3 linked regions of the Arabidopsis thaliana genome follow. The protein of the gene in region 1 interacts with the protein of each later gene in a pairwise test. Each region holds a gene or a part of one and is shown in the gene's direction. Other genes may lie near its edges. The genes, in order: AT4G13530, FBP7 and AT3G61180.

Region 1 (3,756 bases):
TTAAAATTAACATGGGCCACATCAATTGGGCCTAAGAAGATAAAGATGGGCCACAACATTTAGGCCTAAAAGAAAATGACCTCAACATCAAAACTTCGACAGTCAGTCACTGTAACATTTTAGATCTTTCCCGAAGAAGAAAACGAAGAAGAGACGAAGAGAGAAATGAGGCCGATGCAGCTGGATATGTTATCGGAGATGGATGATGCAGGTTCTTCGATGGCCATGGACGTTGATGACCTCGAAGCCATGGAGATACTCAACGAAGGAGGACTTGTCTCAGATAACAAGCTCGCCGACGCCGATTTCTTCAACAAATTCGATGATGATTTCGATGACACCGATATCAACTAAATCCGGTTAAGTTTCCTCTTTAAGATTTCAGTTTTTTTTCCTAAACTTGATGTAATTTGTGGAGAAACCTATGTAGTAAGTGTGTAATAAGTTCTGGGATTTTTATGTTTGTGGTATGTAACAATGTTTTTCTTCATTTGGATTACTAAAACATTTGATTTGTGTGTTATTGTGCTTTGTCTGATTGTTTTTTTTGGCTCAAATTTAGAATGTTTTTTTTTTCCTTGGTTCTGGAGATGATGATGTTTTTTGGAGATTGAAACCTAATTTTCTTTAGTGTTTTGGTATTTTAGTAACTGAAAATTAGAGTCTTTGTATGTGAAGAATGTTGTGAATTTGTATGTGAAGAATGTGAAAGTTATTGATATTGGCTTAAGATAGAAACTAATTGATTCATTTGGTACCATATTCCATTGTGATTGCTTGTAATTTCAACATCTGAGGTCTCTGAAATATGTGTTGATGTGTTTCATTGTGTTGATATTCATGTGACTCACCGGGTCTAGAGAAACTTCCCGGTGAGAGATGAAATCCTCATGTAAGCTGTAACTTTCCACTAGTGATTAAGTGAACTAGGGAACTCATACTGAAGCACATATTCCTACCAACAATTTAATGGCCTAAGAGAAATAGTCTCTTGTATCTTCCATGTAACTCAGATACATCAGTCAATGATTTATATGGATATGGTATCTTGTTCCATGTTGATTTCTTGTAAATTCACCATCTCGTGGTCTCTGAATGTGTGTTGTATTGTGGTATGTGGGAGGGGGTGTATAATTCCTGTCTTGTGGTATGTAGGAGGGGGTGTATAATTCCCCTGGCCAAGTTCTGTTGTTGCATCGTGTCATATTATATTCTCTGGGCCGGTTTTGAGATGGAAATAATGTGCTTGATGTTCAACTATGGTAGAAAGGAAAAGGAGGCTAAGCATAAAGATGTCACTTGTCACTTTGTCAGTCCCTAGCAGTCTTTGTTACTTGCCTTATAGTCGTATGTATGTAGTGTAGCCAAATTTCATGAGATTTCAACATTCGATAGCAATTCATTAGATATCGGTAACCTCTTTTCAGAATCTCTTACTAATAAAAAAAAAGTTATTTGAGGCCTCTCACACTACCCACCTCAGCCTTTTAACAAATGTGTTCTCAAGTTGCCACGTCATCAACTCTCTCAAAAACTCCCAAATCTCTGCAAGCCACCATCCATGAGCCTCTTAACTTTCTTCTCCTCCCTACCTCAACCTTTATAAAATCTCCACATCTTGGTTTAATGACTAAACTCTAAAATTTTGAGTTATAAAAAAGAATGTTTGTTAAACTATGATATTAACGCTAAACATTTATTGAAAAAAAAGTTGGGTTTCGATTAATATTAAATATTTCCTATGTTTCTTAGCAAAAATAAATAAATATTTTCTCTGTTTTTTTTGTTTGATTGTTAGAAAAAAACACACAAAAGTAAATATATTAAAGTTGATTTTAAATATATTATATTTTGTGTTTTACAATTTTCTATCACTTTAAACCAATAAAATTTAATTATTTTTATTAAAGTTTACAATTCATTAATAAAAACTAATAAATATTACATAAAAATTTTAAAAAATCAATTTTTTTGAAACAATTTTTTTTTTCTTCAAAATCAACAAAATAGAACCGAAGGAATATGAATTACGCGGATTACAATTAAATTATCAATTCATCGATCACCTAATTTGAACGAGAAAAAACAAGTAAAAAAACGAAAAGTAAAATAGTAAAAAGTAAAAATACATTCTATTGGATTTGGTTCGGTATCAATAAATTATGATGTTCTTCACAAAATGCATTTATATGACGTGTTTGCTTCCTCTCCCTCCAGTTTCAAGTTGAGCATATCTGATTAGCAAAAGCGGTTGAAGGTCCTCTACTTCTCGGCCCACCGTAACAACATACACTGTCAATCCATATAGTTATCATAAACCCACACGTCAACGAAACCACTCTTTTGACTTCATCCTCTATCCAATCACACCACGCCACGTTAACACCACGACCTAGTGTTTCTGTGATCTCCACACAGAGAAAGAAGCGTTTCGGTTCTGTTTTCGCCCCAACACAAAGACTCCTTTTGTTTCTTTTCCTCAATTGGATCGAAAAAACCCCTAACTTTGACATGGAAGGAGAGATTCAAGACTGGGAAATACTTCAGAGCTCGAGATCTACCACGGAAGATGACAATTCGAGGAGCTTGGAGGAGATTGATGATGGCACGCAAGGTATGATTAGGTTTGATCATTTCTCTCTTGAGAACCAGAGTGGTTTGTCTCGTTTGGAGGCAAACGATGAAGATGGGTCTGTTCAATCGGGTAGTCCAGGATGGATCGAACCTAGCTCCGATGTTCCTTATGGTCCGAAGCATTTTAGTGAGTTATGGTCTGATTCAAGCAGTGATCGGCTTGATGATCAGAGGTTAGTGGATGATGATGTGAATAACGAGATGGGTATAGAGAGAAACGAAGTGGGTATTGTTGAATATAGTGAAAGTATAGCTCAAGACATGGATTTGATAAGCTCTGATGAGAGAAAGGAAGAATCTTTACTTCATCCAGTGGAAGGAGAAGGAAACTCTGTTTCTATTGATCCTGGTGTTAAATCTGGTGGTGGAGGAGGAGAAGAGAAAGGGTTTGTGTGGTGGAAAATTCCAATAGAGGTGTTGAAGTATTGTGTGTTGAAAATTAATCCTATTTGGTCTTTGTCCATGGCTGCAGCATTTGTGGGTTTTGTTATGTTAGGGCGTAGATTGTACAATATGAAGAAGAAGACTCGTTCCTTGCAGCTTAAGGTTCTTTTGGATGATAAGGTAACTAGCTTGGTTTATTTGATTGTTTATTGTTCTTTGAGTATGTTGATTCATGAGTCATGTGGTTACTGTATGATCTTTTGGTGTGATATGAGCTCTGCTTAGTTCAACTTTTACTGCTTAGTTAGATGTTTTATTAGTGTCAATTGTTGTTTTGATGGGGAAAATGAGAAGATCAGATCATCCCCTTGTTTGTCCTGGGACCAGTTTCTTGTTGCTAAGTAGTTTAGATGCAACCAGCGACTCGAGGTCATAGTATTCACCAACAGGCATACACTCGTACCCATTTACACTATCTTGCTAAGGGTTTTTGATATAGCACCACTGCATCGGTTGAGTTCTTGATAGATACTTTTGGCATAGAATGTGTAGTTGGTGAGAGCAGTGTTAATAGTCGTTAGAATACCACCTGGGTGATCTATTTCTTTGTCCGTCCTCTCTGTTGTTTCATCTCCTATAATGCTTAAACAACATATTTTTTATTTTTACATTTTGAGTTTGCATGTTCTTTCTAATAGCTAAAGGATAGTTGAAAGATCTTTAGACTAGTTTTCAGTA
Region 2 (3,756 bases), on another chromosome or scaffold:
AAGCACTAATACCAAGGTAACTCATCCTAGAGTTATCAAATATCTCAATTCCATTATGCTGTAACCAGTTCATGATATACTACATAGATGGATTCATATTATGCCATTTAATTTTACTGGAGAATTATGTTTAAATTTATGAAAATTCTGAAATGAGTTTATTTGTAAAAGTTGATATTTCGTACTAAATTATGTTATGGCTATGGAAGGAGCTGCGAGTGTGTGCCATATTAGCTGAGTCGGACTCTAGTGTCTATAATTTACTTTTTGAATATTCTCAGTAAAAGCTTCAAGAATCCTCAGTCTCTGCAATATTTTGATTTTCAGGCGATGTTGTTCATTAACTTCACTGGAGAAGGAGCTGAGTCTCTTAAATCAAAGTACCGTGAAGTTGCTACATCCAACAAGGGACAGGGTCTTAGCTTCCTTCTAGGTGATGCTGAGAACAGCCAAGGTGCATTCCAGGTTAGTCTTATTCTTCTATCTTCAATCGTTTATCTCCAAGGTAGCATTGGTTTCAAATTGCTGAACACATTTCTCTCCTTTCTAAACCATTAACAGTACTTTGGACTCGAAGAGAGCCAAGTTCCTCTCATCATCATCCAGACTGCTGACGACAAGAAATACCTGAAAACAAATGTTGAGGTTGACCAGATTGAATCATGGGTCAAGGACTTCAAGGATGGAAAAATTGCTCCCCACAAAAAATCTCAACCTATCCCAGCCGAAAACAACGAGCCAGTGAAGGTTGTTGTTTCTGACAGCCTTGACGACATTGTCTTAAACTCTGGAAAGAACGGTGAGTTACTTTACATTGTTAAATCACAAATACCTGTTTGCTCGTAGCAAAAACTTATAAATCAGTTTTCATTCCTCCTATTTACTTGCAGTTTTGCTTGAATTCTATGCTCCATGGTGTGGACACTGCCAAAAGCTTGCTCCAATCTTGGACGAAGTTGCTGTGTCGTACCAAAGCGACTCAAGTGTAGTCATCGCTAAGCTAGTAAGTCCTTTCTCTTTCTTCACATTTGAGAGTATTTGTTCTTGATCACCGGATTCTTACTCTTTCACTTGTCCAGGATGCAACCGCAAACGACTTCCCAAAAGATACCTTTGATGTGAAGGGATTCCCGACCATTTACTTCAAATCAGCGAGCGGAAACGTTGTGGTTTACGAAGGAGACAGGACAAAGGAAGATTTCATAAGCTTCGTCGACAAGAACAAGGACACAGTTGGAGAGCCTAAGAAGGAGGAAGAGACAACTGAGGAAGTCAAGGATGAGCTCTGAAAAGAGAAGTGTGTTGTGTCTCTTAGCTGCTAGCTTAGTTTGGTAGTTTTGAGGAAAATACACAGAAGAAGACAGAGCATTGAGTAGACTGAGAGACAGAGAGAGAGAGACGACAGACAGACAGAGAGAATCTCTTTATCTATTCATTAGGTTTTTATATGTGCACTCTTCAGAACAATAATGGCTGCCTCCTTTTCTTTTTTTTGGTTGATGTTACCTTTTTTTGTTTGAATTCAGTTCTCCTTTAATATAGTTTTTGAGGCATTTCTTGGGACGAGTTCTAACACTAAAAATATATTAATTCTGAAGCATATACCAAGATAATATACTAGTTGACTCTTAATTGGTTCCACTATTTGAAAAGAAAACAAAAGGCTAATTTGGTTGTTGAGGAAAGTATGAGAGAAAGGAAACTCAAGCAGATCGTCGAGGAGATCAAACGTTACTTTTACTGTCCAAGCGTTTATCAACATTTACAATTTTATTGACTTGTTCAACATGCTTGTTCCTTTTTTGGTCCTAATACTTTCAGTTTTTTCACTAAACAATCTAATGGAAGAACGAGAAACAGTTAAACTAAACCAATTGGTTAAAGATATTGAAACCGACCTTGAACTGATTTAACTCAGAAATGTCGGTTTCGTTGTTTGTCTGAATTTTGTGAACCTCGAGAAAACAATAAAATAATATTAAAAAAAAGACAGAGAAAGAGTCTCTGTTTCTATCTTCTTCTTTTTTTTTCCCGGTAACAGGGAGCTCGCACGGGCGGCTACGAAATCGCTGTATTTTCAAATCGTCTCTCAGTTTCCATGACTTCAGGTATTGCAATCTTGGATTCAATTTTATTAATTTTGACGAATTGAATCAGATCAATACATGACACCGAGAACAGATCAATTTTGAGAAATTTTCTCTGTTGATTAAACTTTCTCTATATTTTCATTCAAAAATCATTATGATGGGAACCGTTTGGCTTTGAGTATCCTTCGAAACTCGTATGATTGGAGGTGAAAATAATTTAGAGATTGATCTGGTAGTCTCGTGAATGTGTTCAATTACAAAATTGAGAAACGAAAGGTTTTTAATTTATTCATATTGAACTTGTATTGATGCTATCACTGAGTTTCAAGGTGAAATTGTGAGCTATTTATTGATTCTTTTGTGAAAGAAAGAAACTTGATTTCATTGGTGCTTGTTTGTCACAGATGCTCTCACTATACCATCTGAGCTTGAATCTGCCTTGCGGCTCAGGACTGTACAATACTTTATTACAAAAAGGCCTTGGCTTGGTACATCTCTAATCATTTAACACTCATTCTCTTGTCTGTTTTCATCTTATCAAGAATTGGGTTTATGGTTTGTAATGAGTTACATTTTACAGATCTTTATGGAGTCCATGTGAGGCCTGTGCCACCATTCGGAAGTACAAGCCGTAAACCTCATTTTGATCCAGCTTTGATTCATCGTTGCTTGCCTGATGAGCTTCTTTTCGAGGTTGGAGCTTTCTTTATACTATGTTTTGTCATTGTACTGAAATTTGTTTTTCTTATGTACTGGAGAAGTTGATTCTTGGATATGTTACTTGTAGGTGTTTGCTCGGATGATGCCTTATGACTTAGGTAGAGCATCTTGTGTTTGTAGAAAGTGGAGGTACACAGTTCGAAACCCTATGTTCTGGCGTAATGCCTGCTTGAAAGCTTGGCAGACTGCTGGGGTTATCGAAAACTATAAGATCTTGCAGTCTAAATATGATGGATCATGGAGGAAAATGTGGCTTCTTAGATCCAGAGTTCGTACTGATGGTAATCTTTCTTTCTTCATCCTCTTGCTTCACGACATTCTAGCGCCAAGTGATTGTTTTCTTTTGTATGCTCTGACTAACATCGTGTCTTGTTATATCTTTATTGATTAAAGTAACTATGTATCTTCTTCTCAGGTCTTTATGTGAGTAGGAATACTTACATTCGAGCTGGAATTGCTGAGTGGAAGATTACAAATCCAGTTCACATTGTAAAGTCTTTGTCTTTTTCTTTCTTTTCTTCTTCATCTGTCCAATACAGACACATATAATAATCTGCGTCTTCTTTTGGAAAATTTGTTGCAGGTTTGTTACTACCGCTACATAAGGTTCTACCCTTCTGGCAGATTTCTTTACAAGGTTTGCACTCTTCGATATAAGTAGGTATAAACGTTGAGCTACTGGTGGGATCTAGTCTGATAATGATCCATCCGTATTTGTTGTTATTCCTTCAGAACTCTTCACAGAAATTGAAGGATGTTGCCAAGTACATGAACTTTAAGGCTTCTAAATCTGAAAATCTTTACAAAGGCACTTATACACTGTCAATGTCGGATGATAAGGTTAGCTCCCTCTACTGCCTTTTGGCTGGTAATCAACAACATTACATCTTCATAATCCTGATTACTGAAAAACATGTTCTTTTTGCAGATCGAAGCAGCTGTTCTG
Region 3 (3,756 bases), on another chromosome or scaffold:
AAAATATATAAACATAGGAAGGATATTTACAAAAATCAATAAAAATTAAATAAAATAAGAGAGCTTTATATATATATAATTTAAATTTTGTAATATATTGAATGGTCCAAATTGCATTCTCATTGATATTTATCTATAAAAAAAGGATTTGAAGTTCTTTTAATATCTTAAACCAAATGAGGGTTTTTGTAATATATGTGACTTGTAAATATCATCTTTATATATATGTGTGAAGTTGTGTGTCTACGTGTCTAATATACAATCAATCCTAATAGAAAAAAAAGTTGGACGCATTTGATTTGGAAAGCATTCAAGTATATTAATTAGAAAGAAAATAAAAATCCAAATAAACTGTATATTCATAAGATGGACAAGTCAAGAGATAGTGAGAATGGAAGTAAGTGTTTTAGAAAGTAATCTGTTCAAATATAAATAGAATTGAATTCAAATAACACTTTTAGAATGAGATAAACTTTTGATTTAAATGCCATCTAATTCAACAATAAGATATGAAAGAAAACCTCTTTTTTGTAACTAGATTTCCTGTTTCTTGCCCAACATCAAAACCATTGGATTTGATTTTGTTTTTTTTTTGGTAGGTCAGATTTTATTTAGTTAATGAATATGTATATGTTTTTAATTTAGATAAGGAATAACTAAGATTATTCATTCCGCTTTCATTCATGTGTTTTTAAGACTTTTGTTTCAAATATACCAATGTTTTAATTTTGTAAAATAATTGTTATATCCATGATCCATCCCTGTGAAGCTCATATGCTCAAGTAGTAGCTTATAGTTCATGTGAAATAAGAAAATGAAATCAGAATTTATATAATAATATAAGACATTGTGTAAGTTTAATTTTATTTCATGTCATTATCATTGTGACATTGTCATTATCATTAGTTTTATTATCATTATTTTATTACTATTATAAATTACAATTTGACTTTGTAAGAGTTCAAGTTTTGCAAGGAAATGTGCAGAGGCAGCTTTTTCTATATACGTTTGGGAAGCACGATCCATTTCCTTTCCATTTTTGCTTACACAGAGTAGCACAAGTGCTATCGTCACAGTTTTTAGCTCTCATTAAAAGATCACGACACATTTCTTGTCCTTTCGTCTCTTTCGTTACCATCCCTAACAAATATTAAAACATAAGCTTTAAACACAATCTTCATAGAACCAAAAAGATGTATTAAATGTTTTAAAGAATGGTATATGTAACGCAAACCTAGAACGAAGACGATCATGAAAATAGCGAATATGGTGGATTTAGCCATCTTTGATAAAAATTTTAGAGTAAAAAACCAGAAATGTTGATGATAATATAGATGTGAATATCATTATATATATATAAAAGAAATTAAATATATACATATAGTATGTACATGAATAAAAAAAAGTAGACAAAATCAATAAATAAATAGTTATTTAGATGGTGGGAATGGAAACAAAATCATAAAATATATAAACATAGGAAGGATATTTACAAAATCAATTAAAATAAAATTAAATAAGAGAGCTTCTCTTATATATACAACTAATAATTTTAAAATTTGTAATACATTGAATGGTCCAAGGTGCATTCTCATAGATTTTTATCTATAAAATATATGTAAATAAAATCCAGTTAATTATCTTACAATTCTGATTTTCATGTACAATAAGTTGGATTAATCTTTAAAAAATAAGTTGTAAGGATCCATCAAATAATCCCCTTCTAACTATAATACGCATATTTGGAGTTTAAACTCTCAAAATTTAGATATTGAATTGAGCCTTAAACCTCGAAAATAAAGTATGTCTACTACAATGATATAATTTAGATATAAACTTAACATAACACAAATTGTGGGGGTACAAAAAATGTTAGCAAAAATATAAAAAGTCCTTTTGGAAAATAAAAAGATTTGAGCAACTACATTAAGTTTATGTATTTTTTTAGAATTTCCCGGAAGAATAAAACTACTGTAGTCTCATGATATCAAAACGTTTATTGGGGACAAGACATTCTCTTGTCGTTTTGTCAATTATCCATTAGATAGAAACTGGTCCTCGAAACCTAGAATCATCCACCCCGCAAAGTCGACAGATTTCCAGCGAATTCAAACCCGATCCATCGAGATTCTGGATCAACCCGATTACCCAAGATCCAATCTTTCTAATTGATGAATCAATCGATCCCTTCTACCGTATCTTCTTCTCCGACGACTGATACGATGGACGCTTCGCCGCTTCTTGGCCGGAACAGACGTAACCGCCCACGGTCCTCTCAGCCGATTCGTGGCGCGGCGTCGAGACTTCTCCGCCGTGCTAGCAACCGCCGGATGATGCTCCGTGAGCCCTCCGTTCGAGTCCGTGAGGTGGCGGCTGAGCAGCTTGAGGAACGGCAGAGTCAATGGGCTTACTCTAAACCCATTATAGTTCTCGATATACTTTGGAATTTCCTATTTGTGATTGTTTCAATCGCGATTCTAGGGTTTAGTTCTGATGAAGATCCTGATGTTCCTCTTAGGTTGTGGATCATTGGGTATAATGTTCAGTGTTTGTTTCATGTTGGATGTGTCATTGCTGAGTATAAACGTCGCCGTGTTGCTAATTCTCCTCCTCCTAGTGGTGAAGATTCCTCCAATCACGAGTCTCTTAGCGGAAGTGAAGATGAATCTGATGGCTATAGCATTAACAACACTGATGATGATGACCATGGAACTAGGTTCAATTTCTTTCTTATGGCTACAGCATTATACTAGCTTAGATTCAGAGCAATGTTGGTTCTTGTGATAGACTTATACTAGCTTAGAATTCAGAGCCATGTTAGGTTGAAGGAAACTTTTAGGATTGTATAGAAATAAAGAACTGAATGAGAACTGTTTCCCATTGATCTACTCTCATGTGGTTTGTTTCCTATTCTAGTTTCACTAAGCACCTTGAATCTGCGAATACCATGTTCTCTTTTGTGTGGTGGATCATCGGGTTTTACTGGGTGACGGCTGATACCGAGGCACTAGCTCAATCTTCGCCACAACTCTACTGGTTTGTTTCTAACAAAAGTTGGCTGTTGTGATTTTGTATTCTCAAGAGTTTGTTTCTGTGATTTATTTAATCTTTGTTTCTTGTGTGTTTTGCAGGCTCTGTGTTGCATTCCTTGCGTTTGATGTTATGTTTGTTGTCATTTGCGTAGCGGTTGCTAGTCTTATTGGTATTGCTGTTTGTTGCTGTTTACCTTGCATCATTGCGATCTTGTACGCATTAGCAGATCAGGTAAAGAAACATTATGATGATGAAGAACAAATGAGTCTCATGTTTCTTGGTGAATCCTATTAAGCGATTTGTAAATTTCAGGAAGGTGCACCGGATGAAGAGATAGAGAGGCTTTTAAAATTCAAGTTTCTCACAGTAAAGAATTCTGAGAAAGTGAATGGCGAAATACGGGAAACTCAAGGAGGGATAATGACTGGATTAGATACCGAGTCTCAAACCGAACGTATGTTATTAAGCGAAGATGCTGTAAGTAACCATAATCAAATCTCCCATTTTCTATCGAATTTGGATAAAGACACTGAACTGACTTTAGCAAAACCGGAAAAAAAAAACCATTGCAGGAATGCAGCATTTGTCTATGTGCTTATGAAGATGGAGTAGAACTAAGGGAGCTTCCTTGTAGACACCATTTTCACAGTTTATGTGTAGACAAATGGCTAAGGATCAACGCTACTTGCCCTCTCTGCAAATTCAATATCCTCAAAAATGGTG

Evidence for each region.
Region 2: the proteins of AT4G13530 (region 1) and FBP7 interact in a protein complementation assay, tested with the Arabidopsis thaliana proteins (one large-scale study listed by BioGRID).
Region 3: the proteins of AT4G13530 (region 1) and AT3G61180 interact in a protein complementation assay, tested with the Arabidopsis thaliana proteins (one large-scale study listed by BioGRID).

Annotation. Positions count from the first base shown.
Region 1 is NC_003075.7:7,864,297-7,868,052, forward strand, and holds the start of AT4G13530 (uncharacterized protein), read left to right. Parts: upstream 1-2,031; 5' UTR 2,032-2,511; coding exon 2,512-3,198; intron 3,199-3,756. Other genes in the region: SMAP1 (small acidic protein 1), read left to right, coding at 166-354.
Region 2 is NC_003070.9:7,647,226-7,650,981, forward strand, and holds the start of FBP7 (F-box protein 7), read left to right. Parts: upstream 1-1,968; 5' UTR 1,969-2,098; coding exon 2,099-2,108; exon of another isoform or gene 2,109-2,286; coding exon of another isoform or gene 2,287-2,296; intron 2,297-2,494; coding exon 2,495-2,578; intron 2,579-2,670; coding exon 2,671-2,783; intron 2,784-2,877; coding exon 2,878-3,091; intron 3,092-3,225; coding exon 3,226-3,299; intron 3,300-3,393; coding exon 3,394-3,447; intron 3,448-3,542; coding exon 3,543-3,650; intron 3,651-3,738; coding exon 3,739-3,756. Other genes in the region: PDIL1-1 (PDI-like 1-1), read left to right, coding at 1-16, 328-465, 562-799, 891-1,003, 1,080-1,289.
Region 3 is NC_003074.8:22,643,509-22,647,264, forward strand, and holds the start of AT3G61180 (RING/U-box superfamily protein), read left to right. Parts: upstream 1-1,983; 5' UTR 1,984-2,171; coding exon 2,172-2,716; intron 2,717-2,916; coding exon 2,917-3,036; intron 3,037-3,131; coding exon 3,132-3,264; intron 3,265-3,345; coding exon 3,346-3,510; intron 3,511-3,605; coding exon 3,606-3,756. Other genes in the region: LCR53 (low-molecular-weight cysteine-rich 53), read right to left, coding at 962-1,140, 1,235-1,283.